Rattus norvegicus: one gene and its partners. The protein of the gene in region 1 interacts with the protein of each later gene in a pairwise test. Links are inferred from orthologs where the notes say so. Each region holds a gene or a part of one and is shown in the gene's direction. Other genes may lie near its edges. The genes, in order: Ushbp1, Sertad3, Ccdc116, Parvg, Cops4, Dydc1 and Ccdc120.

The links.
Region 2: the proteins of Ushbp1 (region 1) and Sertad3 interact in binary tests that used the Homo sapiens proteins (3 or more experiments, as listed by UniProt). The two-hybrid records come from large-scale screens. The link is inferred for Rattus norvegicus from reciprocal best matches to the Homo sapiens genes USHBP1 and SERTAD3.
Region 3: the proteins of Ushbp1 (region 1) and Ccdc116 interact in binary tests that used the Homo sapiens proteins (3 or more experiments, as listed by UniProt). The two-hybrid records come from large-scale screens. The link is inferred for Rattus norvegicus from reciprocal best matches to the Homo sapiens genes USHBP1 and CCDC116.
Region 4: the proteins of Ushbp1 (region 1) and Parvg interact in binary tests that used the Homo sapiens proteins (3 or more experiments, as listed by UniProt). The two-hybrid records come from large-scale screens. The link is inferred for Rattus norvegicus from reciprocal best matches to the Homo sapiens genes USHBP1 and PARVG.
Region 5: the proteins of Ushbp1 (region 1) and Cops4 interact in binary tests that used the Homo sapiens proteins (3 or more experiments, as listed by UniProt). The two-hybrid records come from large-scale screens. The link is inferred for Rattus norvegicus from reciprocal best matches to the Homo sapiens genes USHBP1 and COPS4.
Region 6: the proteins of Ushbp1 (region 1) and Dydc1 interact in binary tests that used the Homo sapiens proteins (3 or more experiments, as listed by UniProt). The two-hybrid records come from large-scale screens. The link is inferred for Rattus norvegicus from reciprocal best matches to the Homo sapiens genes USHBP1 and DYDC1.
Region 7: the proteins of Ushbp1 (region 1) and Ccdc120 interact in binary tests that used the Homo sapiens proteins (3 or more experiments, as listed by UniProt). The two-hybrid records come from large-scale screens. The link is inferred for Rattus norvegicus from reciprocal best matches to the Homo sapiens genes USHBP1 and CCDC120.

The regions. Positions count from the first base shown.
Region 1 is NC_086034.1:18,099,068-18,103,008, reverse strand, and holds the start of Ushbp1 (harmonin-binding protein USHBP1), read left to right. Parts: upstream 1-1,141; 5' UTR 1,142-1,232; intron 1,233-1,477; 5' UTR 1,478-1,549; coding exon 1,550-1,603; intron 1,604-1,815; coding exon 1,816-1,937; intron 1,938-2,132; coding exon 2,133-2,568; intron 2,569-3,941.
Region 2 is NC_086019.1:91,889,793-91,893,940, forward strand, and holds the start of Sertad3 (SERTA domain-containing protein 3), read left to right. Parts: upstream 1-1,348; 5' UTR 1,349-1,418; intron 1,419-1,424; exon of another isoform or gene 1,425-2,468; intron 2,469-3,823; 5' UTR 3,824-3,826; coding exon 3,827-4,148.
Region 3 is NC_086029.1:97,348,401-97,352,576, forward strand, and holds the start of Ccdc116 (coiled-coil domain-containing protein 116), read left to right. Parts: upstream 1-1,376; 5' UTR 1,377-1,486; exon of another isoform or gene 1,487-1,490; intron 1,491-1,599; 5' UTR 1,600-1,667; coding exon 1,668-1,739; intron 1,740-2,641; coding exon 2,642-3,190; intron 3,191-3,294; coding exon 3,295-4,176.
Region 4 is NC_086025.1:117,346,187-117,349,686, forward strand, and holds part of Parvg (gamma-parvin), read left to right. Parts: intron 1-2,088; coding exon 2,089-2,190; intron 2,191-3,500. UniProt on the Homo sapiens protein: Plays a role with ILK in promoting the cell adhesion and spreading of leukocytes.
Region 5 is NC_086032.1:9,389,108-9,392,607, reverse strand, and holds part of Cops4 (COP9 signalosome complex subunit 4), read left to right. Parts: intron 1-132; coding exon 133-303; intron 304-3,333; coding exon 3,334-3,449; intron 3,450-3,500. UniProt on the Homo sapiens protein: Component of the COP9 signalosome complex (CSN), a complex involved in various cellular and developmental processes.
Region 6 is NC_086034.1:16,973,741-16,977,831, forward strand, and holds the start of Dydc1 (DPY30 domain-containing protein 1), read left to right. Parts: upstream 1-1,291; 5' UTR 1,292-1,538; intron 1,539-2,039; exon of another isoform or gene 2,040-2,294; intron 2,295-4,091. UniProt on the Homo sapiens protein: Functions as part of axonemal radial spoke complexes that play an important part in the motility of sperm and cilia. Plays a crucial role during acrosome biogenesis.
Region 7 is NC_086039.1:17,440,219-17,444,216, forward strand, and holds the end of Ccdc120 (coiled-coil domain-containing protein 120), read left to right. Parts: intron 1-108; coding exon 109-171; intron 172-527; coding exon 528-702; intron 703-832; coding exon 833-931; intron 932-1,983; coding exon 1,984-2,898; intron 2,899-3,383; coding exon 3,384-3,498; downstream 3,499-3,998. UniProt on the Homo sapiens protein: Centriolar protein required for centriole subdistal appendage assembly and microtubule anchoring in interphase cells. Together with CCDC68, cooperate with subdistal appendage components ODF2, NIN and CEP170 for hierarchical subdistal appendage assembly.

The DNA.
Region 1 (3,941 bases):
GCAGCAAGCCGAGTCGAAGTTAGACCGCGGCGACACAAAGTTCGCGCGCGTTCACACCGCCGCAGGTTCCACTGCCTGGGTACCGGGGCCAGTCAATCAGGTCTCTAGGAAGCCGCCATCTTCCTTACCGGAAGTGCTACCTTCTGGGAAATGTAGTTCAGTGGCCTTCAGGACGTGGAAGCTGATAGGCTGAGGCGTTCTAGGGGTGTAGCTTGGAGTGTAACGGGCTGGAATGGGGCTGAAGAGGGAGGGGTAGTATTGAGAGTGGGTGTGACCCGTGGTGAACTGAAGCAAAACTGAGAGGAATTTGTAGTTCGGGCTTAATCACACTAAGGTTCTCAAGGCCTCTGCTGTGATAGGACAAGAGATTGAGCTGGGCGGGGCCGTTTGATGATTGACGGGGTAGGAATTGGCTTGGACTTGCCTAGGGCCCTCTCAGTTACTTATGTGACTTGGGCTGGTATTCATTCACTAGTTCCGCGATGCGAGCTGGTGGTGCACACCTGTCATCCCAACACTCCAGAGGCCCGAAGACGAAGATCGGGTGTTTAGACAGCCTGGACTATATGAGACGCTGTGTGAAAACCAAATGGAAAGAAAAAGTAAAGAAGCCACTGTGGACAAGCTCACTGTCGCCGGTGACTCCAACGGCCTGATGCAGTAGTTCAGTCTCGTTGAAGAGAAACCTTGTGGGCTACTGAACAGGTGCAGGCTCTTGCCGCCAATCCTGACGACCTGAGTTCGATCTCGGAGACAAGCAGTACCATCACAGACAAAGATAAATAATGAAAAATAAAAGCTATGCAAGTGCTGGAGCCAACTCTCTTAGTTTTGTTTTTAGAGACACAAAATAAAATTTTAAAAAGACCTTCACATTAGAGCGAGCCCTGATGAACAGGGGGACACAGAAAATCCAAAATAAAAATGGAGGCACTACATGTTTGGGCTGGGATAAGGGGATACTGATATCTTGGAGTGGGACAAAGGTCCTGGTCCTCCATCCTCTTCCTGTTCTGGAGGAAGCTGGCATCCTGGAGAAGGAAACAAAACAATAACTGTCCATGTGATCAGGGTAGGGAGCTTCCTGTTTCTCAGCCTCTCCCAGGCCACCTTTGGCCATTGCAGCCTCAGTAGCCAGTGGCCAGAATGGCCTGAGATATTCTTAGGAGTTCAGACCTTTCCCAAGGTGCCCTGGAGAAGAAGAGAAGAGGGCCGCAGGGCCAATCCCCAGGGTGAGGGAGTTTGGTACTAAGAGAGTCGTGGGAAGAAGGAGAAATCTTAGGATACCACTCAATGCCTCCATAGGGAAGAGAGGGGGCACAGATAAGAGAAATGAATTCAGACAGCGGAGGGAAAAGGAATGCCCGGTAGAGATGGGTGACGGGGAGGAGGAGACAAGTAAACAGTGGGCACTATTGGAGAGGTATTTAAATATTTAAATGTGTCAATCAGTTCAAACGAACCAAAACTCCTACAGGAAAAAACAAAAAACAAGGATACCAAGGTAACAAAAGGCAAGAACTGAGAGCAGGCTGTAGTGACAAGAGTAATGAGTGCCCGGGCCACACGACCCCGAAGCCGGCGAGGGAGGCATCCTCTGCCTGTAAGTGTGCCCCTCTTCCTGCCACACCCAGCCCATGGATCCTGGGAACCCAGGTCTGCTTGGCTCAGAACCTGTTGTGGTACAGGGGAGACCTCCACAGGGAGAGCTGGATGTGATGACCAAGAGCCCGTGTGTGTGTGTGTGTGTGTGTGTGTGTGTGTGTGTGTGTGTGTGTGTACGCACCCGCACATGCACGGGAGTGTCATTCACAGGGGGAGCTGGACCCAGTAGCTGAGAGCTCAGAGGAGGTAGATACCACCAATGGGAGCTTCGAGACTAAACCTGAGCTGCTTCAGGAACATCTTGGTCCTAGCCTGCAGGGCCCTGGGAACCGGTAGGATGCCGGGGCCCATACTCAACTGCCTCCAGCTGCTCACCTGCCATAGCTTCCCCTGCCCGCTTCTCTCCTCTTCCTTTTTACCCTCCAGCCATGAAGCTCAGTCCCTGCTCAGCCTTCCTAGGGACCCTGGGGTCAGCCCTCCGCCTCTGCTGAGTCTCAGGTGGCTAGGGTTCCTGATTATCCTCACAGGATCAAGGAGGATTGTGATGTGGGATCCCATGGGGTCCTACCCTTGAGCCCGGAAGAACGGCGCGAGCCTGAGGTGGAAGCCCACCAGGCCCTGCAAGAAGCCCCTCTGGATACTGGCCCTGCTGAGATAACAGCACCCAATGTGTATGAGACCTTGAAGTGCAGGCTGAGCTCCCTGGAGGCAGTTGTAGCTGCCTGGCGCCGCCACTCGCTAAGCTTTTCAAAGCCAGTGGAGGCAGAAGACAGAGACCCGGGAGCTCCGGGGTCTTTTGGTAATGAGGAAGAAGCCTCTGGACCTGGACAGCAGGAGGCAGCGCACTTCATAGAGAGGAACGCCTGGCTCCGGCTGGCCCTGGGCACCCGGGAGGAGGAACTGGCGCGGACTCAGGCTTCACTGCAGGACGCCCAGGCAGAGAATGAGACTCTGCAGAGACAGGTGAGCTGGTGACTGGGAAAGAGGCAGATCCTGCTTTGAGAGTAGACACTGACGTGGGTGGAGCAGTGGCAGATGTGCCAAGGAAGTGACCAATAAAGACAGCGCGGTGAGAGGGGGAGCAAGGGAGACCGGCAGTCTGCACCCCACGATCTTAACACGCAGGAAGCTCAAGAGGGACAATCTCTACTCTGGCGAGCCCTGGCTAAGACCAACGTTCTTCTCAGCTGTAGACTGAGTCCAAGGTTAGCCTGGGTTACAGACCCTGTCTGTGTCAGTTGCACCGCAGACAGACAGACAGACAGACAGACAGACAGACACAAATCTTATCTTGGGGGTGGTGTTTTTTTCCAATTCAAGGTTTCTCTGTGTAACAGAGCCCTGGCTGTCCTGAACTTACTTTGTAGACCAGAATGGCCTCGAAATCACAGAGATCCCCCTGCCTCTGCTTCCCTAGTGCTGGGATTAAAGGTGTGAGCTATGCCAGATTTGTTTTAAGGTTTCTATTGCTGTAATAAAACACCACAATCAAAAGCAATTGGGGAGGAAGAGATTTATTTCATCTTAAAATTCTCAGGCCTCACTCTGTCACTGAGGGAAGCTCAGGCAGGAACTTGAAGGCAGAGGTTATGGAGGTGTGCTGCTTACTGGCTTGCTCTCCATGCCTTGCTCAACCTGCTTTCTTATCTCAGCCTGCCCAGGGATGGCACTACACACAATGGGCTGGCCCCTCCCTCCCCATCAATCGTCAGTCAGGAAAATGTCCACAGGTCCAATTGGGGGAGCATTTTCTCAATTGTGGTCCCTCTTCCAGAATGACTCTAGCTGAAGTCAAGTTCACACGAACCAGCACAACTCCTGAGATCACTGTAGCTGGAACTGAGTGGGAGAGGTGAAGGCACGTGGGGGAAGGTCACAGTACGCAGGGTGCTGAAGGCTGGGCAGGATTTACAACTGTGTTCTTGTGTGTGGTGGGTTCTGAGGGGAACCCTGCTGCAGGTGTTCACTTGCGCCATCTGATGCCTGTGAGAGGAACAGTCTGGCGGTGGACCATAATCCTGAAGGTGGAGGAGGGGCGACAGCAGTGGCTCGGGGCGTTTAGTAGAGGTGACCAAAAAACCTACAGATTATGGGTGACGTTAAACCCAGATGTGATAGGACAAGCCTGTAATGATAAGGACTTCAAAGGCTGAGATGAGAAGATCATAATTTAGTACTAGCTTTGAAAAGATAGGCAATCGTCTCAAAACAGAACAGAGCCCTAGCTGGTTCTGCTAAGAATCCTCGTCAGCCTGTGGGCGTGGCTCAGGGTAGAGTGACAGCGTAGAATACTCCAATGAGGGGCTAGGGGCGTGGCTCAGCGCTTAGCTTTCAGA
Region 2 (4,148 bases), on another chromosome or scaffold:
AGGGAGAAAAGTCCTGTGTTTATTTCTTAGAAGGTATTGGGAGCCATCTTAGAAAAACTGAAAGCACGGTGGTGAATGCCTAAATCCTAGCACCAGAAAACCGAAGTAGGAAGGTACAAGATTCCGGAACAGCTTAGGATACAGAGCAAAACCCTGTCTCAGAAAACAAACAAAAAAATAGCTGGTGGTGTATCTCAGTGATAGAGGACTCTGGCTAGCACCAGCTCGGTGTTCCGTTCCCAACACCACAAAAAACTAAGCAAAAGGGGGAAATTTCCGAGTCTGAAGGTACACACCTGCAACTCCAGGATTGAGGAGATAGAAGCGAGACATGATTAGAATTTTAAGACCAGCATTGTCTACTACACTGGAGTCCAGCTTCACGAGACTGCCTGAATCAAAAAGAACCCGAAAGTGAATCCTAGAAAACAGGAAGGAGGGTACCAGAGACCAAAGAGTGAAAAGCAAGTCAACCCTTCACTACGAAACCTTATCACACACACACACACACACACACACACACACACACACACACACACACACACACACACAAACAAAAACAGAAACAAAAAACCAAAATTTTAAATCTTAGCTCAGTCCTACGGTGCTTGTTCAAAGGCTCAAATGATAAACCCCCAAAATTAAAACAAGAAGTAAGTTTGAGTTTGTTCCCAGAGCTGCGGGCAGCCATGAGGAGTGAGCAGCAACAGGCAGACAAATACGAAGAAGGATGGAATTGCCTGGGATCCAGGAAGTCCCACCAAACAAGCCACAGACCCCTCTAGAGAAAGCACAGGCTCCGCCTACAAAACAAGTTGGGGTTGGGGAGGCAGAGCTCCGCCAGCTAAGGGGCAGGGCTGCGGTCGTTCAGGCAACGCAAGCCGCATCATTCTATTGGCTGCTGTCTGGTGCGTCATGCCCCCTCCCCCGCCCTCCGGTTTCACCCAGCCTTCGGAACTCCGGGGGGCGTGGCCTCCAGCAGCTGCCCACCCTGCAAAACCGCAAGGGAGGGGAGAATGGTGTCACCCCGTATTACTCCGCAGTGGAGTCTGGTATAAGGGGTCTGCAGTGAGACAGAGGAGTAAGAAACATAGCTGGGTCCAAAGTAGCAGTTCTGACGGCGTTACCACCTCCACCATGGAGACTCCACCCCGCCCCCTGACCAGTAGCCAACCTAAACCGGACCCGGCCCAGTGATGGTCGGGGCCTAGCATCCGTGGCTCCTCTTAGCCAATGGTGCCCCGCGGCGGGCAGGATTCCAACCAATCGTGGCTTGCGACTGGACTCCGGGGAGGAGCCGAGTGGCCCCGGGCCAGACCCAGAGGCCCGGGGAAAGTGAGCCGGACTCCTACCCAGCACTGGTGGGACTCAACGCTGCAGGTTTGTCGAAGGTAGTCGTGGCGACCCTGGCAGCCGAGGTGAGGAGTGGCCGCCTGTGTGAGATTTTCCTGGAGTTAGAGGAGGAGGGGGGCGCGCTCCCGTGGTAGGCGGAAGCGGGGTATCCCGAGTGGAGAGAGATTGGTGTGACTGATGGGCACTGGATGGTGGAAGGCTGGAGAGTGAATTCCAGCATCAGTACTGAAGGGGAAGCAGTATTATTCAGAAGGAGTTGGAGTCTGGAGAAGCAGAAGAACGGAGAAAGAACTTTGGAGGCACGAATCGGAGAATAGGACAGTTTGGGTCTCGAAGAACGGGCTGAGTCTGGAGTTGAACGGTGTTCTGGAGAAAGAGAACGTTTCAAGGCTAAGATGTGAAGCATTTAGAGGGACCCGGGAACTAAAGGCATTGAGCATTGGATTCTGAGACGCGGTCGTGAGATGGGAATGCCGGAGAGAGTTACTGACGGGGTCTTGGAGCCGGGCTGGGAGTTTGGAAAGTAAAGCCCAGAGTCACTTGAAAGTGCAGCCGAATTAGGGGAGGTTCGGGACAAGGTCTCAGAATTGGGATACCCAGTTTCGCCAGCGGAACTATGTACCCGAGAGTTATTTATCGTCTTTGGGCGATGTGATGGGGTTTGAGTCTCTGCACACCGAGGACAGTTTGGGGAAGAGTCCAGAACTTTCTGGGGTGATAGGGACCCAGAGAAAGCAGGTTTTCCGACTGAAGTCTGGTGGGGGAGGGGCGCTGGGGCGTGGAGCTCAGATTCGCCGCCCCGAAGGCAGTAGAGGGCGGGGCTCGGCGGCCACTGGGCTGCTGGAGGTCCGGGTTCCCTTCCCCCATCGCTGGAGCTCCAGTACGCATGCTCAGGGAGGGCGGGTCTGTCCAGCCTCTTGGGTGTGCTGGGCCTTCTGGGGATTGTAGTTTGAACGCGACAACAGAAGCTCTACCTGGCGGCTCTGGGTCCACAGTTCCCAGAAGGCCCCGAGGATACATTGAAGTGTTCTTGGTTCTGGTCTAGCGAACCAGGGAAGGGCGGTGCCTAAAAGAGAAGATTTGGTTGGACTGGTCGCTAGAGGGTGCAGTTTGAGGTTAGTTTCGTTCTAGTTGGCTTTCCTTTGGGTCGGAGTTTGGGAAAGGCTCCCTCTTTTGAGAGGTCCTAGACTTAATTGAAGGAAGCAGGTATGGACAGAAATATTCTTGAAAAAAGAAGAAAAAAAAGAATTTCAACACGCAACTGAGCGTGGTCTCACACATATTTAATCCCAGCTGTCAGGGAGGTGGAAAAGGAAGTACGATATGAGTTTGAAGTTAACCTGATCCACATAGGGAGTTCCAGAACTATACAGAGAAACCCTGTCTAGATTAGAACCAAAATAAAACAAAAACCTGAGGTTCAGAGTTGTGACACCAGATCTTGCCAAGATCACAGTGTCTTGAAAGACAATATCAAGATCTATTGAGACGAGAGTTAAGATCTTCACTTTCCAAATGTTGAAATTGATTACCATAGCGTCAATTCAACATTGTGCCTACGAGTAAGTGATATTCAAGCTATGCTCAGGTGTTTTTGTGATTTGTTTTAGGGGTTTTGTTTTTCTGAGAAAGGTTTGTCTGACCATGTGACTATGCCTGGCCTGAAACTGGCTATGTATGTCCACCAGACTGCTCTTGACTTACAAAATTCTACCTGCCTCTGCCTCTGCCTCCTGGGTGCTGAAATTAATGGCATAGAACACCATCCGCAAACTGTTTTCTGTATATCTTCCTATTTTTAATTTTATGTGTATGGGTGTTTAGCCTGCATGTTTGTCTGGGCACTATGTGTGTGCTTGGTGCCAAAGGAGGCCAAGAGAAGCCAAAGTGGAATTTTAGGCAGTTATGAACCATCCGTGTGGGTTTTGGGAATCAAACTCGGGTCCTCTAGAAGAGCAGCCAATGCTCGTAAACACTCAACAATTTCTCTTTTCTTTTTTTTTTTTTTTTTTTTTTTCGGAGCTGGGACCGAACCCAGGGCCTTGCGCTTGCTGGGCAAGCGCTCTACCACTAAGCTAAATCCCCAACCCAGCAATTTCTCAAGCTCCCTTTATTTTTCAGACACTACTTAGCTGAGGATGACCTTGAACTCTGAACTCTCTGCCTCCTTAATACAGAGGTTACAGTTACAGGCATCTCTCCACCCTCACTGCTGCCTGCTTCTCCTCTGTGTCCTGCCCCCCCTCCCCAACAACCCTACCTGCTTCCTGTTCTCTCAGTCACATCGAATGCATTAATTCACCCATTCTTAGCCTTGTCGGATTCTGACTGTGTGCACTTTAGAGGTTCTGATACACACACACACACACACACACACACACACACACACACACACACTTCGCATAGCTGCACAGGCGTACTTGAAAAGGTGGGAGCCCAAGGTATCTGACTCGACTCCCTTTTCCCACAGGACATGGGAGGCTTAAAGAGGAAACATTCTGATTTGGAAGAGGAGGAGGAGGATGAGAAGTGGGACTGGAGTCCAACTGCTCTTCGGAGCTACCAGCAAGCCCTGCTCCGAATCTCTCTGGACAAAGTCCAGCGCAGCCTGGGCCCCAGAGCACCCAGCCTCCGCAGGCACGTCCTTATCCACAACACGCTCCAGCAGCTCCAGGCTGCCATTCGCCTAGCTCCAGCACCAGCCCTGCCCCCAGAGCCGCTCTTCCTGGGTGAAGAAGATTTCTCCCTGTCCACCACCATTGGCTCTATCCTCAGGGAGCTGGATACATCCACGG
Region 3 (4,176 bases), on another chromosome or scaffold:
TTGGGCTTTCATTATAGGATGTCTGTTTCTTGGTTCAAGCCCATGATATTGGTAATTTACTACTGTTTACAGTCACAGAACCTGAAGGTTCATGAGAGAGGTGGAGCAGGAAACTCTGTTCTACAGGTTGGAGCCTGGCCTGCTCTGGTTTCATCGATCCTATCTGATCCCTGCATCACGGGAGAAGGGAGAGAGTTTGATTATAACAGTACCTGATGGGGTTGGGGATTTAGCTCAGTGGTAGAGCACTTGCCTAGGAAGCGCAAGGCCCTGGGTTCGGTCCCCAGCTCCGAAAAAAAAAAAAAAAAAAAGAAGAAGAAAACAAAAAACAAAAAACAACAAAAAAAAAAAAACAAAACAAAAAACAGTACCTGATGATGCTTTGTAATGGTTGGAGGCCTCGGAGAACGCTTCAGCCAAATTCTTGGCATAAACACTGCTGTGTCTGATCATAGTGATTGCTGAACCATCCAGTGTCATTCAACCACTGGGCCTCTCTGAGAAGCTGCTCTTGGGAAGGCCAGAGGCCATGGGACCCTGAGAACCACAGATTGGGAAGAGAAAATTAAGCATTTACTTTATGTATGAGGAATGGAGTTATTAGGGACTAGGGTTCACTGCTTTGATTCCTGCCCTACACGGCCTAACAGTACAGCTGTTAGACAAGAAAGAAACAATGTGGCAGTGGAGGATGGACTTGCTGTGGATATGTTGGCAATGACAGGCTTTCTAGGATGAAGGGAGAAGGAAAACTGTAGAAGTGAGTTTATATGGACTTTAAGGTGCAAAATGTGTTGTAATACTCATTTGTGGAAGGGTGCTCAGCTCCATTATGAGGAGCTGGTGTTAAGGGACTAAGTCATATCAGCAAGAAAAAGCAGGGACAGGAACTAGGCTGTGCAGAAAACCAGGACTCTTCACTTAAAAAGGAAGATGAGGGGCTAGTCCACGCTGCACCAATGAGGGAATGGGGTCCTAAGAGGAAGACAACGAGTAGGAGGTCCAGGAATGAGCTGAGGAAGATGTTTGAATAACAAGTTGAGGCTATCACTTTCACCCTGAGGATTAGACAAGCCCCAGATTCAGACCTCTTGGCTGAATAAAGTCTTATCTATAACCATCCCCAAGCGCTACTTACTTAGCTGGCTTGACTTAAAAATCCAGCAAGGTGGGGGAGGAGCCAATCTGGGCCCCTCCCCCAACCATTGTGTCGGGGAGGATAGTGAATGAGAGGCCAGATTCTGGCCAATCAGGATGAGGTATGTAAATGAGCATCCTGGGAGGCTGCGAGGGTAGGATTCCAGTGCACTGTGCGGTAGAGCTTTAAAGGGTGCTGAATGAGTGAACCCCTAGAAGCACAGCAGAGACTCTGGTAAGCAGGTTGGGGGCTCCAGGATGCCTCAGGTCTGAAAGAAAGAAGTCTGGACACACATTTGGACCCAGACACAGTTGCAAACAAAAGGCAGTGACTTGGGAATGTCCACAGATAAGTGACCAGTCCAAGCAGGGAAAGTTGGGACGTCTGGAGGACACAAGTACAGGGAATGAGGGGTCCATGGAGGCCTGGACCTAACTTTACTTCCTCTCTCCGCCCCATACAGAGGAGTCTGCATCTGTGCTGTAGGACCTGAAGAAGGAAGCAGAAAACAAATTTAATTATCCACATCATGGCAAGGTGCCGCCACCACTCAGGTTATCTGGCTGACGACGAGGCTGCTCACGGCACCTATGTGGCTCGGGTAAGTATATCCAGCTGACCCACCACTTGCTGCTGCTTTCTCATGTCCAGCTGATCTTACTGGGTCACTTGGTGAAATCCTTACTGTAGCGTCGCCTTACCTTATGCCTGCTTGCTGAGCCACTCCCCTTGGCCCCAGATAGTACTTGGGTGGACCAGGAGCCCTGAGAAGGAGCGTACAGGACTCAAGCTGGAGACACAGAATCGAGTCCTCAAGTGTAGCACAGCAATGAAGACAGTGTAGACCTTTGCTAGAGCCTGAGGGCGGAGGGCTCCCATAATTGCCTTTTCATACCACGAACACAGAACTCCACTTTCAGACTCCCAACTAGGGCTGGCATATATGAAATAGAGGCATTGGGAAACCTTCAGGGCAACCCTAATAGACCTGTAATTTGAAGAGAAGCCCTCGAAAAGGGCTGTTGTGAGCATAGTCATAGATCCTGAAGATAGCAGAGCTGGCTGGGATTCAAACTCAGGATTACCCGATTCTAAAATGTAACTCAGGGCTGGTGAAGTATCTAAGTGGGTGAAGGCACTTTGAGTCAAGACTGATGATCTGACTTGGGGATGATCAGTTTATCCCCAAGATCCACATAATAAAAGGAGAGAACCAGTCACACCAAATTGTCCTTTGGCTGCCATACCTGCACTGAGGCATACCTACATGCACATGTACCCACAAGTAATTGTTGAAAAAAATTTTAAGTGTAATTTAGTGGCTGAACATTTGCATATCATGTTCAAGACCCTGGGTTTAATTCCTAGCCTCGAGAAACCTTAAAGAAAAAAGTTTTCCACTGTTCAATACCAACCAGCTCCTAATGGCACCCCGGGAGGACTGCTCCTCACCCATTGCAGGGCATCCTGCCTGTTATGACAACCCTCTCTGTTCCAATATAGCTGCCCAAGAAGCATCTGTTGCCAGAGATGAGGCCAACTTGCAAGCTTGGGCGTGTACCACACCTACCATCAATGAACCGATACTCAGAGCGCCAGGGCCACCAGCAAAACCTTAGGCGCCCTCGGGCATTTGGTGGCTTCCTGGATTTCCTCACGGAGGGTCAGGTACTGGACAGCTTGCAGACAGTCGTGGAGCAGGCAACAGAATGTGTGGCTACCATGAAGACAGAGGCTGGAGTGCCACTGGTGGATGTACAAGACCGAGTGGAGGTGCCAAATAGTAGGCATCGTTCTCGAGGCAGACCCAGCATCAACACTGTGCATCGGCACCGTGCTCGGCCCACGCTGTGTGCTGGACACCCAAACAATTACCCATCTTGCTCCAGCTCCATGTCTGACTCCCATAGCAGCGTCACAGCTGGATGGCTGGGGTCCCGCAGCCAAGACAGTGACCTGGGTGCCAGAGGCGTAGGCTCATTGCCACCCATGAGGGACAAACTCCTGCTTGAGAAAAACCTCAAGAGGCTGCTACGACTGGAAAGCAAAGGGGTGAGGTCTGGTGCCATGGCTAAGGCTAGCAGAAGGTGGGCGTGAGATTAGCGGCTAGGGCTCCGCCTGCTTGGATCCCTCTTAGCTTTTCTTTCTCTTTGCAGAAAGTTCTGAATCAACACTGCTCCCAGAGGGATTCCCTGCTATGGGACTCACTGGGCAGCCAGAGCAGCAGTCAGCCGACCCGGGAACAGCCCCTGTCTTGGTTCTCTGGGCTTCTGGCCTCCACTTCAGTCACCCCTGAAACTTCAGAGTTGGGACTCGGAGAACAAGAGATGATTTTCCTCAAACAAGAATTAAACAAGGAGATAAAGTCACTGCTGAACCAGCCAACCTCCTTCAACCTGCCTACCTATTGTCCACTCAGGGAACCCCATCGTACCCTGGATTTCCTGTCTGAGCACCACCTCTTTCCAGCCCTGCAGCGTGTGGTCAGCCAGGCTGTAGACAAGCTGAGCCATGCCTGCCGCCACAATGGCTTCCCCCTCTTCCCTGTTACCTCAGAGCTGTCTCCAGTGTTTCCTGGGAACTCCGATCTTCAACCCAGCTCTAAGGCTTCCTTACCCACCGACAGGGAGGCTAGGGGAGAGACTTGTTATTCTCCCACCTCGGCCTCCAGCCCTAAGACATCTCACAGAAAAAGCAAGGACAGAAGGGGCTCCCCATCTAATGCAGTCCAGATGGCTACCAGATTCAGGCTCAAGGTGACACCTACAGAAGTCTCTAATGTCCCTATCCCCTCATCCCAGTGCATGCTGAAGTCTCCTAACTCTGACCTCAAATTGCAGAAACAAACTACAGCCTCAAACCACAACCATATACCTCAGCCCCGCCATGGCCTGCACCTCACCCTGCCTGCCCCTGGGATCACAGTGGAGGTGGCCTCCTGCCAGGGCCAACTCAGGGGCCAGGTCCAGCATAGTCTTGCCACTCCCTGCCATCTCCACTCCCATTTCCCTTTCCCTGTGTTCTCCCCATTCCTTCCC
Region 4 (3,500 bases), on another chromosome or scaffold:
CTCTGCAGCTTTCCCCACTCTCCTCTCCCCCACCTCTGTTTCATGTGAGAACTCACAAAGTCCCATTCAATACATGACACTATTAAGGGCTCAGGGGGACAGAGAGGCTAGGTCACTTACTGAAGGTCACATAGCAATTAAGTAGTGGTCCTAGGGTTTGGACAGAGTCAGTTGGGGCCCAAGTATCCACTCATAGCAACTGCACATGGGTGGCCATGTGAGCTTTGTGGGTGCCTTGGCAACATGCTGGGGTGAACACAGACTTCAGAGCCATATGCGTATGAGTTTCCATCTTGTGCCTGCCACTGGGTGCCCTTGGGCTCTGAGGGTATGTCCACATTGGCTGTGTGACCTTGGCTGGCTTACTGAACTTCTCTGAACTTCAGGCTCCATGCATTATAAAGTGGGAGTAATTCTTTCACGGGATTGTGAGTGTGAGTGTGTGTGTGTGTGTGTGTGTGTGTGTGTGTGTGTCATTGCTATTCAGTAACATCCATGTCACCTGACTCACTGTGACTTTCCCCAAGCAACACATCTCCGACTGTATTTTCTTTGGGTAGACGTAGCGCATATCTCAAGTTTACAGCCCACTTCTGGCAGCCTTCTCTTCTCTGCTTAGACAAGAGTGAGTGAGCGAGGACAGAAGACATGTTGGGATGGTAGAGGAGGCCTCAGAGTTAGGTTTCTCAGCTATGTTTTGGGGACAGCAGCAGAGTGGCTTCCAGGCCCAAACTAATAACACCAGAACAGACTTAATCAGGGGAAATTCCATTAAAGACAGAACAGCGTCTTTTCACAGCAAAGAGATTCAGCCGGATTATGTTAGCATTTGACGTGCTCACTGCGGCGTTATCTCAGACCGTGCAGACAGAACAGACAGAAATATTAATGGGCCCGTGTACTCCTCTTTTCCTTTGCTGATGGGAGAGTTTTATACTAACTCTGTTTTCACACATGGATCTGTAGTCCGTGGAATAACTTGTCATTTAAAAATAGACACAATTGGGGGTGGTGGTGGAAGGTGCCACAGTTGGTGAAGTGTTTTCCTGGCAAGCCAGATCCCTGGGGTGTGGTGGCACATGTGTCCTTTTTTTTTTATGTGTATGAGTGCTTGCCTGCATGTATGTATGGGCAACATATGTGCTTGATTACCGAAGGGGCCAGAAGAAGGTGTCGGACTCCCTGGAACTGGTGTCACAGATGATTGTGAGCTGCTGCGTGTGAGAAACAAACCCAAGTTCTGTGTTAGAGCAGAGAATGGTCTTAACCACTGAGCCATTGCTCCAGGCCCTGGCACATCTTTAATCCCAGCATGGGGGAGGCAGAGGCAGAGGCAGGAGGATTCCTGGGGCTCCCAGACCAGCCAGTCTAGCCTACTTGGCAAGTTACAAGCCAGTGAGCCAGTGAAGGATTGTTCTTCCTGCCCCCAAATAGGTGGACTTTTTCTAGAATAGCACCCTAAATTGTCCTTTGGCCTCCACATGCCCCTGCCCACACACGAACACACACATACACACACGAGAGAGAGAGAGAGAGAGAGAGAGAGAGAGAGAGAGAGAGAGAGAGAGCCCAAACTGCTTCATGCAACTATTGATAACCCCCTGAGCTGGGAATGCCAACCCCACTTTTCAAAAGGAATGTGAAGCTCAGAGAGGTGGTGTGATTTCTTTCAGCACACACAGCATACAAGAGGCAGAGTGGAACCCCTCCAATGTCAGCACCCCCCCCACTTCACAGCCCTGGTTCATTTCCCTTGTTAGTCCCTTATAAGTCACTGTGACAAAGAGGAAGGGTTTATCTCGCTTACAGTTCATGTTTGGTCTCTTTGCTTGGCCTCACATGCTTGGGCAGAATATGATGGGGACAGGGGTGTCTGGTGGAAGACAGCTGTTCACATCATGATGGACAGGAAGCTGAGAGCCCAGCAGGAGAGAGCCAGGGAGACTTTAGCCACTAATCTGCTGTACCCCAGTATCTACTTCCTATAGCCAGGCTCTACCTGTAAAGAATCCATGACAATGCACCAGCTGGGGCCCAAGTGTGCTCAGCGTGCTATCGAGATAACAGACTGAAACACAACTCCTGCAGTTTGCAGATGGCGTCATCTTGCTTCTGCTGATTGGACAGCTAGAAGGCTTTTTCTTGCATCTGAAGGAATTCTATCTCACTCCCAGCTCTCCCACAGAGATGGTAAGCTTCCGAAATCTTCCTCCGTGGCCTTCTTTGAGGGGGGGGTAGACAGATTTATGACATTGGCTGACATTCTTTCTTCTATTCCAAGCAATGAGGAAAGTGGGAAGGAAGTTTGTTCATATGCCTGTCTACCCATCTACCTTCACACCCATTTGCCCATCAATCCACCCACTCATCCACCCATCCACATGTTCATCCATTCATTTATCCACTCAGCCATCCATGGATGTCATCCACCTACCTCCACCCACCAGTGTATCTACCCATCCACTCATCCAACACTTAGGTACATATTTATATATCCCCTATACATCTATCTATCTACTCATCCATTAATTCATCCCTCCACCCACCCATCTATCCACCCACCCATCCACCCATCCATCCACTCACCCATCCATCCATCATCAATCCATCATCAATCATGTCCCCACCCATCCACCCACCCATCCACCCATCCACCCATCTATCCACTCACCCATCCATCCATCCATCATTAATCCATCATCAATCATGTTCCCACCCATCCACCCACCCATCTACCTATCCATCCATCCATCCATCCATCCATCTATCCATCCATCTGTCATCTGTCCATCCATCCATCTATCCATCCACCCACCCATCTATTTTTCTACACATCTGTCCATCTACTAGCTCACCTCCCTGTCTGTTTACATATCTACCCATCTGCCTTTCTCAACTCACCTAACCACCCATCACCCACTCACCCACTCACCCACCCACCCACCTACTCAGGCATTTGTGCACTGGACTCCCACTTTCCAAGGGTCTGCTTAGGGCCATGCCATGCTGTTCAGTATACAGGACAGTCCCTCATGACTCTGGCTTTCAAGCTCCTCCGTGTCTACTCATGGTTCTCTTGGGGTGGTGGCCTTCCAGGACATCAAGGCAAGGCACTAGCTTCTGGTGTGCTGGGCAGAGACTGCAAGAGAACAGTGCTGGCTGGGGTTTGTTTTAAAAAATTGAGGAAGATGGAGGATGTCTTGAAATGAGGGAGCAGACTCAGCAGAGGTGCAGGAATGCTTTGGGGGGAGCAGTCTGTGGTTCACGAGGGCTACAGGGACTGGACAGGGCAGGTTTGGTAGGCAAGGCATTTCATATGGACCCTGGATCCCAGAGCTGCCAAAAGACACCCTTAGTCCAGGCAGGCAGCTAAGTTTGACCCCAGGAAGAGGGATGAGAAATGACAGGCCAGGGAGTTGTTGAGTGCCAGGGTGTTCTTGCCTTGAATGTGCACCATGCATCACTGCCCATGGAGACTCTAGCGCCCTTCCTCTCTGTCC
Region 5 (3,500 bases), on another chromosome or scaffold:
ATACTACATATCATACTACATATATATTAAAGGGGATTGTCTGTATTTTAGTAGGCAAAGATAGGATCGTAGAGTGTGATTCTTTTTGTCATTAAAGAAACACTTAGAACATTTGACCCTCTGTTTCCCTAGGACAGCAGCGCTCTCGGATGCTGGCTACCCTTTTTAAGGATGAAAGGTGCCAGCAACTGGCTGCTTATGGGATCCTGGAGAAAATGTACCTAGACAGGATCATCAGAGGGAACCAGCTTCAAGAATTTGCTGCAATGCTGATGCCTCACCAAAAAGCAACCACAGCTGATGGTAATGGCCACATCTTGCATGTGTGTAGCAGGGAATATTTAGGGTAGATTAGTAGAGAGTATGTTACAGTAGTGTTTCCAAGCAGTACTTCCTGATAATAAAAAGAGGACTGTTACCGATGATGAATATTAGACACCAGCGTGGGTTTGTGGTATAATCTGAAATAATCCCTATTGGAAAGCGTTTTATGAAATAACACTTCTTCTTTAAAAAATCTTGTTTGTCTGTTTAAAACTCGTGAAAAAAATTACAGAGTGTATGTATGTGGGGCACCTGGATTTTAAATAGCTAAAGCTTGGTAAGTGACACTCATAGCAGACTGTGAGGACATAATTGTCCATTCTTGATTAAGAGTAAAACTTAGCTCAGTAGCTTGCCCAAGGTTCCCTGGGGTCAAATGCTGCAAATGAGGATGAGTTTCCGTGGGGAGTGTGGTGGGTGGGTAGGAAGGGGAGCATCCTCACTGAAGCAGGGTGAGGATGAGGGTGAGGGGAAGGAGAGGCAGAAAGGGGATGACATTTGAAATGTAAATACGTAAAATATCCAAGAAAAAAAAAAAAAAAAGAATAGGTTTTCTTTCCTATGTTTGCTTAAATCAGAATGTCTTTGCCAGGAAAAAAAAAGTGTTTTTAACATTTTCTTATTCATAATAGAGGTTATTTTATGTATGTTTGTCTAAGATGTTTTAAAGTACCATATTAACATGGCCATGATACTAAATGTAGAGCTGTGACCATCTTGAACCATGCACAGCATGGGTGTCAGCACGGGTGTCAGCTAGGCTTACTCCCTGGGTTCACCATCGCCCTGTCCAAGGAGAAATTAGTCGTGAGGACTCATTTGTCTTCACTAGGCTACCTGAAAGGTGACAGTTTACTCAATCTTAGGTTATTATTTATTTATTTTTATGTCCATTGGTGATTTGACTGCATGCATGTCTGTGTGAGGGTGTCAGATCCCCTAGAACAGGAGTTAGACAGTTGTGAGCTGCTGTGTGGGTGCTGGGAATTGAACCCTGGTCCTCTGGAAGAAGAGCCAGTGCTCTTAACCACTGAATCATCTCTCCAGTCCCTCAGTCTTAGTTTTAAGGATTCTATTGTTATTCCTGTGTATAAGTGTGTGTCAGTATGTGTCGGGAACATGGAGGTGTCTTGGGAGGCCAGAAGAAATGGGTCAATGTTATGAGCTCCGCTGAGTCACTCAGTGTGGCTTCTGGGAACCAACTCAGGTCTTCCACAAGAGCAGCCCGTGCTTGCAACATGCAGAGTTTATCTCTAAGCCAAGATTTTATTTTTCATAGAATTTTCTTAAGCACCTCAGGAAAATTTTCTTTATGGTTGTAGATTATTTCTGGTTCTTCTGAGCAATTAGTTTTATCTTAAACACATTCTGAATTGATAAATTGATTTTTATTTTGCTTGACTTATAGAAAAATTAAATTCATAGGCCAACCATGAGTAGTGTGCATGGGCTTTAATCAGAGTTGATCCTCCTGTTTTGTTTTGTTTTAACTTTTGAATTTTTAATTCTCTGTGTAGTCTAAGCAGTCATGATTTGAAAAAAGTGATATACAAATTAGTTAAAAGCTAGGTAGAAAGTTTACAGAATTAGTATCTTCAGTTTGACTTTGAGCTTTTTAGCCACGAGAAAAGTCGGCTCCATAGGTTCTCTGAAGAGAGTGACTTCAGTGACAGGATGCCTGTCTGCTGCCTTCAGCTGAGCCAGCCCTGAGCTGACAGGCTTCTTTTTTTAGATCACAATCTCATTTCTTTTAAAACAGTCATTTATTGTATGCGTATGAGTACACGGTCCCTGTCTTGAGACACACCAGAGGAGGGCGTGAGAGCCCATTACAGATGGCTCTTGTCAGTAAGAATGTGTACTGTTCTCCCAAGCCCCGGGGTGGTTTCAGCTCCCACATCTCATGGCGTGTGATTCTGCCACAGAGGGGACATGATGCTCTGCATGTACCCACCTCAGCCCACCAGGAATACTCGTAATCAAAATGAAACCAACCTTAAAGACTGGTGAGGCTTCCTGTGGCTGCATGATGGTTGTGCTGCTGTTGCTGGTAAGTTTGTGTTCGACGCAGAGAAAGAAAAGTTAATGAGTTTGTCAGCCAGGAGCAGAGCCCAGTGCAGTCCATCCGTCCTTAGCCATTGCTCACCAGCTACTCATTGTGTGCCTTCCTCCCTGACATACTTCCTCACAGGAGCGGCTGAAGTCAGGAGGGATTGTGGCTCACAGTGTGAGAGAGAATACAGACACCATGGTGTGCAGGGCATGAGGGCAGCTGTGTGAGGTGGCAGGACGCAGAGCAGTGCAGGTGCTCCCTGGCTTTCTCCGTTTCAGTCTAGGACCCCAACCCAGGGAATGGCATGCCCACATTCACGATAGCCCATCGCTCTTAAACTAAACCTGTCTGGGAACACCTTCACAGACACTGCCAGAGGTGTGTTTCCATGGTGACTGACTACTGGAGATTAGCTATCACACTAATACTATATTTTGTATGTAAAGTATAATTGTAACTATACCCCGATATATTCGTGCTCACCTTTAATCTGAGCACTTGGAAGGCAGAAGCAAGCAGATCTTAGTTTGAAGCTATCCTTCGGAGTGAGTTCCAGGACAGCCAGGGCAACACAGAGAAACCCTGTCTGGAAACAACAACAACAACAATAATATAATATCAAATGTGAGTTTTAGTAAGTGTTGGTTAGAGGTATAAAAGCTGATTATTACATGTCTAGAAATAAAAATAAAGGTATTTCTTTTTACAGTATAAAACTAGTTTCAAGGGGCTGGAGAGATAGCTCAGTGGTTAAGAGCATTGACTGCTCTTCCAGAGGTCCTGAGTTCAAATCCCAGCAACCACATGGTGGCTCAGGACCATCTGTAATGGAATTCAATGCCCTCTTCTGGTGTGTCTGAAGTAGCAACAGTCTACTCATATACATAAAAGAGAATAATAAATCTTTAAAAAAATTAGTTTCAAACATTTAATGAGTTTGTTTATGTTTATTTAAGGTTCCAGCATCTTGGACAGAGCTGTTATTGAGCATAATTTGTTGTCAGCAAGCAAATTATATAACAACATCACCTTTGAGGAACTCGGAGCTCTTTTAGAGATCCCTGCAGCTAAGGTACTTTTCTTAATTCAATACTTTATAACAGGGAAATTGAAACCCCACACT
Region 6 (4,091 bases), about 1.1 Mb from region 1:
CTTAAGGAAAAGTTTGGCTCCAGGGTTGGGGCAAAAAAAAATATAAGCAGCCAGAGACAGTTTATTATGCCAGGAAGTAAGACTCTGACAATGTAGACACAGGAGCCATCTTGAAGGCTTATTCCAGTGCTACATTTTTGCTTCCACAGGAACCCATAATCTCAAACCCGGAACCTGTGGATGTTATGTTGTATGATAAAGGGGGCTTTGGAATTGTGATTAAGGATCTTAAATAAGGAGTGTGTGTTATACAAGCGGGACCTCTCAGTTACTTTTCTATTGGTGGTGAAGAGATACCACGATCAAGACGGTTTACAAAAGAAAGCACTTAACTTGAAGCTTTGCAGTTTTAGAGGGGGAATCACAGCCGCCATGGGATTGGGAGCATGGGCACAAGCAGGCACGGTGCTGGAACAGTTCTCAAAAGCTTGTCTTCACGTTGGAGGTAGGGGCAGACAGAGCGAGCCTGCTGTGGACTTTTGAAACCTCAAAGTCCACCCCCAGTGACACACCTCCTCCAACAAGACATCTCCGAAGCCTTTCAAAAGAGTTGCAGCAACTGTCAACCAAGCATTCAAATATCTGAGCCTCTCGGGCTCATTCTCACGGAAAGCGCCACATAGGCACAGCTGTAATTGCCAGAGGTGTCAGTAAGGCCAGACGTGGAGGGTGGCAGAGTGACAAAACACATGGAAGAAGGAGCATGAAAGTCAAGATCATGTCCAGAGACAGCTTCTAGAAGTCAGAAGACAGGGAAACGGAACATACAGAAGGGTTTGTGTGGATTAAGTTTTCCACATCCCTGCTGCTTCATGTGATCGGACGAGGAGTTGTTGTTTGGTGAAGTGCAACTTCCGATATCTTAGATTGAATATATGTGTGGCTCGACGAAATCCCCAGTGCAACCCCCAGTCACTGATCCTCTCGCTATTCTCGTAGAATCCCAGCACAGAATCACCAATGCACTGCCAGAGCGTCTCTCCATGCCTGGATTACTGAGTGACTGCTGCACTGCTTAAACGCGACAAGCCCTCTGAGGATACCACCCCTGGCACTTGTCCCACATTCAGTACCGAGTAAAGATGTCTGAGTGCTCTGATGTTGGGGGCGGGTGGGCAAAGGAAGGGCTCAGACTCTGTTGATCCATCAGCGTCCCTTCTTGCATTTATGCAAGCCTCTACCACCGAGCAATGCCAGGCCCATTGTTTGCTTTTTGTTGCTCTGGTAAACACTATGACCCGGGGGGAGGGGGGAAGAATTTATTTGGTTTACAGATTACACTCAGTCTATCATCAAGGAAAGCCAAGCCAGCAACGCAATGGGAGAGTGAGCGTGAAACAGTAACCATGAAAGGAAGGCTTTCGTTCTCTGGCTGATTCGGCTACCTTTTCTACACAGCCCAAGCCTGCCTTCTCAGGGACAAGCACTCCCCATAGTGGACATATGCCCATAATTAGCAACCAAGAAAATGCCTCCCAGACACGCCCACGAGTCAATCTGATGGAGACAATTCTTCATTTGAGATTTCCTGCCCCCAGGTATATCTAGGTTTGTGTCACATTGACAAGAACTAACCACGCACACCAGGGGAGAGTGCAAGCTAGAGCCTGGTGGAGGGTGTCTTTGGGCTAGCTGAAGTTGCTTGTGTGTGAGTTCACTCTGATATTTTGGTTGTGAGCCTAGCCTTTAACGGCTGAGCCATCTCTCCAGCCCGTGAGTTCACTCTGAAAGGTCTTAAAATTACCAAGCCAACAAGCCTGCAGCCTTGAAAGTGTCTCTCCTGACTTCAAAGATCTGCTGCTCCACAAGGCTCCTATCTAAGAAGAGTCCCCGTGTCTGCTGGGTTCCTCCCGCTGTTTCTCCACAGTGTTTCCTTTCCCATAAATCTGGTTCTCCCATCTGCGTGCCCCCTCCCCTACAGTGCGCGTTCCTGGCTCTATCGAGAGTGCACCCCCTCCCCTAGAGTGCGAATTCTCCTTTCATTTCCCTTTGCCTCCACTACTTGGGCTGCAATGGAACCTTAGCTCTACACTAGAGCGTGCTCTCGTTGCCAGGCAACGGGACGCGACTCACTGGCGTGTGGCCAGAACGTGCATCGGATGCGTGCACCAAGGAGGCTGGAGCGTTTTCCTTCGAACCGGCCCTCTAGTGTCTCTGCAGAAGCAGTTCTAAAATTTTCACCTTGAGAGTCAAGTAGGTCTCAACTCAGAATCCGAGGGAGGGTTAGTTCTCCTGTAAGAGCCTTTGGAGCGCAAGGACTCCTTCTCCTTCCTCCTCTCTTCCGGCTCCTCCTCTTTCTCTTCTTCCTCCCCCCCTCCTTCTCCCGCCCTCTAGCCACCCAATAGGAAAACTAATCTAAGTGTCTAGGTTGGTGGCTGCCTGATTGAAATTTACTTTTAGATAAGCAGGTTACTTGCTAGCACAAATATATATAAGACAATTATTCATTGTTTCTCAGAAATTAGGTCTGCGGTGGTTTTGAGTGCCGAATCCAGCACTCTTCCCAGGTCCTGGCAGAGAACCTCCTCCATTGTCTCAGAGCAGCTGCTCCAGATGTTTCTGTGGGAGCGGACTTTCTTCTGTGAAGCTGGATGAGCACTGGTGTTTGCTGGGAAATAACACTTCTTAGGACAGAAGAGATGGCTAGTAGTTTCCTAACCTGACCAGGAAATGTATGTTGCAGAGATGACAGAGGGACCTCATGAAAGCCCCACGGAGAACGCTAAGCAGCTGCCAGAGCCCCAGATCCTATGTTTTTGGAGCAGCAGGAAGAGTGTATTCCATGTTGTATATAAATGACACTGATACGTCCATGTGGTGATCTTATCTATAGAGAATTTCCCACAGAAGAAGCACCGTGAAGACACAGCCCAGTCAGTTGCCGTGTTTGTCTCTCTGTGATTAGGACACCAGTGCCAATCTAGTTGGAAATCAGCGTATTTGTGCCAGCTCCAGTCGTTCTTAGGGCTACACTATACATACACGTGTATATTCCTTTGGAAGCAGGAGCAATTTCTACATCTCCCTTTTCCTCCTGCATTGTGCCTCACTAGGAAACCACTGCCTATTTTAGAGAGCATTTCCAGCCCCTTATATTGTGGCTGGATTCCATGGTGTTGTATGTAATTGATCCCCTGCCAGGACATTCAGACAGCACTTTCAGTCTGACTATAATAATAACGTGTGAATAACCACGTTCACATGTCACTCCAGTCTTGAGTCTGCACCTTTGAGACAGGAGTCGAGAACTGCAATGGTGAACATATTCTGGTCTTTTAATCTCATTGGGTCACAATTCTGGGCTTGGGTGGGATCATTTGTTTGGTCTGTTATCCTATATAACTATAAATAGAAATAGTCACCCTAAAAAATACTCACGTATCTGCCTTCATACCTGAAAAGACTGGGGAACAGCTGAGAGTAGGCACACGTTTGATTACTTGCCACCATGGAGAGACAGCAGGGCACACACATGCGCATGCATGCACACACATACTAACACTCTCTTATACACTTTGTAGGCAGCATGACAAGGGCTGTATGAGCTACTTGAAGTAGGAGAAACTCCCTTGTACTGCTTGACAAAACTCCAGAGCCAGACATGATCTGTGGCTCGAAGGAGGAGGTATGTTCCAAGAGTAGAGAGGAAAGGATTATTGAGATGGGAAAGCACAGTGTGATAGCTAGAATATGGCAGGATATTCAGTGGGGTAAGAGCCCAGGATATATGATGACAGGGACGTGCTTGAGGTGAGTCTTAAGGGAAGCTGTGGTGGTTTGAATATGCTTGGTCCAGGGAGTGGCACTGTTAGGAGGTGTGGCCTTGTTGGAAGAAGTGCGTCACTCTGAAAGTGGGCTTTGAGAGCTTCTTCCTAGCTGCCTGAGGAGGATGCCAATCTTCTCCTGGAGGCCTTCACATTAAGATGTAGAATTCTCAGCTTCTCTCCTGCAATGCCTGCCTGGATACTGCCATGGTCCTGCTTTATGGATAATGAACTGAAACTCTGAAAATGCAAGCCAACCCCAATTAAGTGTTGTCCTTATAATAGTGGCCTTGGTCACGGGCACTGACTAACACAGAAGCTGATACC
Region 7 (3,998 bases), on another chromosome or scaffold:
AGTCAGTAGTCCTTAGGTAGGCTACACAGAAGTGCCTATATCCAGTGGTATAAGGAGCTAGAACCCAGACCTTGACTGATCTCTTGCTTCTCCATTTCTCACCTGTAGAGGATGTAGTTCTGCACTCGGAGAGCAGCTCCCTCTCAGAGTCAGGTGCCAGCCATGATAATGGTGAGAACTATTCCCTTAACCTGTGCTCAGCCCCTCCTACTATAGCTCCTCCTTAGCCGCGCCCCATGTCCCTATGTGTTCTTAGTTTCTCCTTTCACTGCCTTCCTCTGCCCCAGACCCTACAGGTCAGTCTCTACATTACCTTTTTTGCCTTGCATCATTCATCCTTTAGCTTGTTGAAGCCTATCCCAGCAATGCCCCTCCCCTTCACATGCCCCTCCCCTTCACATGCCCCTCCCCTTCACATGCCCCTCCCCTTCACATGCCCCTCCCCTTCACATGCCCCTCCCCTTTGAGCCTGCTCTGCCCCTTTGGGCCCTCTCGTTGAATTTTACCTTATTTTTCCTTCTACCCAGAAGAGCCTCATAGCTGCTTCCCTCTAACGGAGCGCCCCTCCCCACCAAAAGCCTGGGACCAGTTTCGGGCGGTATCTGGGGGGAGCCCCGAGCGACGTGCCCCATGGAAACCTCCGCCATCAGATATTTATGGGGACCTGAAGAGCCGGCGCAACTCTGTGGCCAGCCCCACCAGGTAAAGAGGAACCCGTTTTCCCATTTCCCGGGACCAAGAGTGGGATCCTGAGCCTGGGTTGGCAGGAGGGCCTACTGGTGGGTCCACTTTCTAACCTGGGTCCCGATGTGGGCCTGCCATCTCTGTCTAGCCCCACACGCTCGCTGCCCAGGAGTGCCTCCAGTTTTGAGGGGCGAAGTGTGCCTGCTACCCCTGTCCTCACCCGGGGCAGTGGCCCCCGGCTCTGCAAGTAAGGGGACTCTTGAGGGTGGGTCTGAATATGAGAGGAGGAAGACTGTAGTCCTAACTGTAGATGTTGAATTACCCGAAGATGTGGGACTTGGGCAGCCGGCCTTTGAAAGGCGGATAGAAGTTGGAGTGGGAATTGGAGGCAGAGGTGTGAAAGTGGGGCTTTCCCGTGTTTTCTTGGATGCCATTTTCTTTCTCTGAATCTTTGTCTCTTCATTTGTGGAGTGTGATATCTGCCTTTGAAAGGCACGGGCACAGTGCATGTTGGGTAGCATGTGCAAATGCCTACTGTCTGCTAATAATTGATAGCATTCGTGGCGGATAGTAACTCCTTCTCGCATTCTAAGACCCCTCTGAGGAGATGCCGTCATTTGCATTTTATAAATGTAGAAAATGAAGCACAGAAAGGTTAATTAGGTAACCTGTGAGCAAACCGAAGTTCTCATGCTTGAACCCATGGAAATTTATGGAATCTAGTGTCAGCCTCGAAGCACTATACTATAATGTTTCCTAAATGTTAAACATGTCTATTTTTCCCATGCCGTGAACAGAAGCCTCGTGTTTTAGAGGGCCTACATTCTGTGCATGGTGGGACAGTTGTTTGGGGATGGTTCATAGGCGTGGTGGGTTAGAATTCAGCAAGGCCTTTAGTTCCAGGCATAAGGCCTAGGACTTCCTTCAGGAGGTAACAAGGAGCCATAAGGATAACCTTAGGGGGAGACTAGGAGCCCCTGGGTAACAGAACAGTACCTGGGTGTGCCCTTCCTTAGCTACTGCTTCCTTCCCAGAAACATTTACGTAACCCTACGAGCGTGTACCCCATCCTGGTGTACATTTTCACGCCCTATGCGCCAGCTTCCCTGTGCGGGAGCGAACTTCACTGGCCCATGACATTACACGCACTGCTCAGCGCTATAAGAAGGCAGCTCCTAATACTGGTCCCATTTTAGAGCAAGGGGGGGGGGGGCTCAGAAAGAGATGGGGCAGCCAGGGCGCTCATCATCTGCATTCTTTGTCTGACCCTGCCCTTGTTACCTCACCTCTGCTCTCCAGACCCGAAGGCCTCCATCCTCGTCAGTGGTCCGGTAGTCAGGACTCCCAGATGGGCTTTCCTCGGCCTGACCCTGCTTCGGATCGGGCCTCTCTCTTCGCAGCTCGTACGCGCCGCAGCAATAGCTCTGAGGCCCTGCTGGTGGACCGTGCAGCTGCTGGGGGAGCTGGATCACCACCTGCTCCGCTGGCTCCCCCTGCTGCTGGTCCCCCAGTTTGCAAGAGCAGTGAGGTGCTGTATGAGCGCCCCCAACCAGTCCCTTCTTTCTCTTCCCGTACCACTGGCCCCCCAGACCCTCCTCGGGCTGCCAGACCTAGCTCGGCTGCCCCTGCATCCCGTGGGCCCCCCCGGCTCCCACCTGTGTGTGGAGACTTCCTCTTGGACTACTCATTGGACCGAGGCTTGCCCCGCGGTAGTGGCGGGGCCGGTTGGGGGGACCTGCTGCCTGCTCCTGAAGTTCCAGGACCCCTTTCCCGCAGAGACGGGCTCCTTGCCATGCTCCCAGGTCCTCCACCCATATATGCAGCTGATGGTAGCAGCCCCCTCCTCCGCAGCAAGGACCCCAACAGCCGTGCCATCCGTTCCAAGCCCTGTGGCTTGCCCCCAGAAGCCGTGGAGGGTCTGGAAGTGCATCCAAACCCATTACTCTGGATGCCCCCACCCACCCGGATACCTCCAGCTGGTGAGCGAGGTGGCCACAAGAACCTTGCCCTGGAGGGGCTGCGGGACTGGTACATCCGGAACTCGGGACTGGCCGTTGGTCCCCAGCGCCGGCCAATGCTCCCGCACGTGGGGCCAACACACACACCCTTCCTCCATGCCCGCTGCTATGAGGTGGGCCAGTCATTGTACGGCCCTCCCAGCCAGGCACCGCTCCCGCACTCCAGGAGTTTTACAGCGCCCCCTGTCTCTGGCAGGTATGGGGGTGCTTTTACTGATGGGTAGGGGTATTGCTACAGATGCTGAAGGTATCCTGACCAGGGAGCACTTTGTCACCATAGCTGCTGAGTGTCGGGACCACAAGAAAATGAGCTGTAGTCTTGGCATGGGGTCACTGTCAGACATAACTTTTATTAGTCCTTGGGGTCCTGAGGAGGAGGATCTTGGGTGTTGGTGGCAGGAGTTCTTTCCCAAGCTTTAGAAGGGTTTTTCTGTTTTCCATAGTGTGGGGCAGCTGGCAGTGAGCCTTGAAGTCAGGGTGCTGGGAGGAAGGGACTCATGCTCTCCCTGGCTTTCTCTTCCAAGCTTACTCCATGCTTGAGAACCTGAAGGTGCTATCCTGTAGCTGTCTCCACCTCTTTAACAAGCTCTTCTCCTCTCTCTGTGTGTGTCCTATCCGTCTTTTCCTCTCTTACCTTGTCCTCCCTACCTGTCTTCCGGATTCCTGCTGTCCTTTCTAAAGATACTACACGGATTTCCTGTATCCCCCGGAGCTGAGCGCTCGTTTAAGTGACCTGACGCTAGAGGGGGAGCAGTCTTCCAGTTCTGATACCCAGACCCCAGGGACACTGGTCTGACCCTAAGCCCTGTGTCGGTCTGGACAGACAGACTCCAGTCTGAGGAGCACACACAGTCAACCTCGCTGAGCCCTGAGATGTGGTTGTTCTTGGTCCTGCGGGACAACTGCCTGATCTCACAGGACCCCTGGCTTCCTTTTGGCCCGGGAAGATGTCTGATACCCCTGCTTTTCTTCTTACCCTGTGCTGGGGGTCTGGAGGGCCCCAGCTAGCTTCAAAGAGGGGGATAACGGTGTGGCGACTGCTTCTTCCTCCATTTCTGTTTACACTTGTGATTTAGCATTCACTGTCTTTGCCCAACACTCGGTGTTTTATAAAAGGGAAACTGAGCTCATTCCTGGTTGGGTTCATTCCTGTCCCCGTGCCCAGCCTGTTCCATTCCAGAGCCACCACCCTGCCTCAACAGAATGGACCACATAGAGTCTCGGGACTAGGACTGCTGTGAACAGAGCTCCCTGCCTCCTCCCACTAGAGTTCTCGAGCAGGTGGGCTTCTGTCTA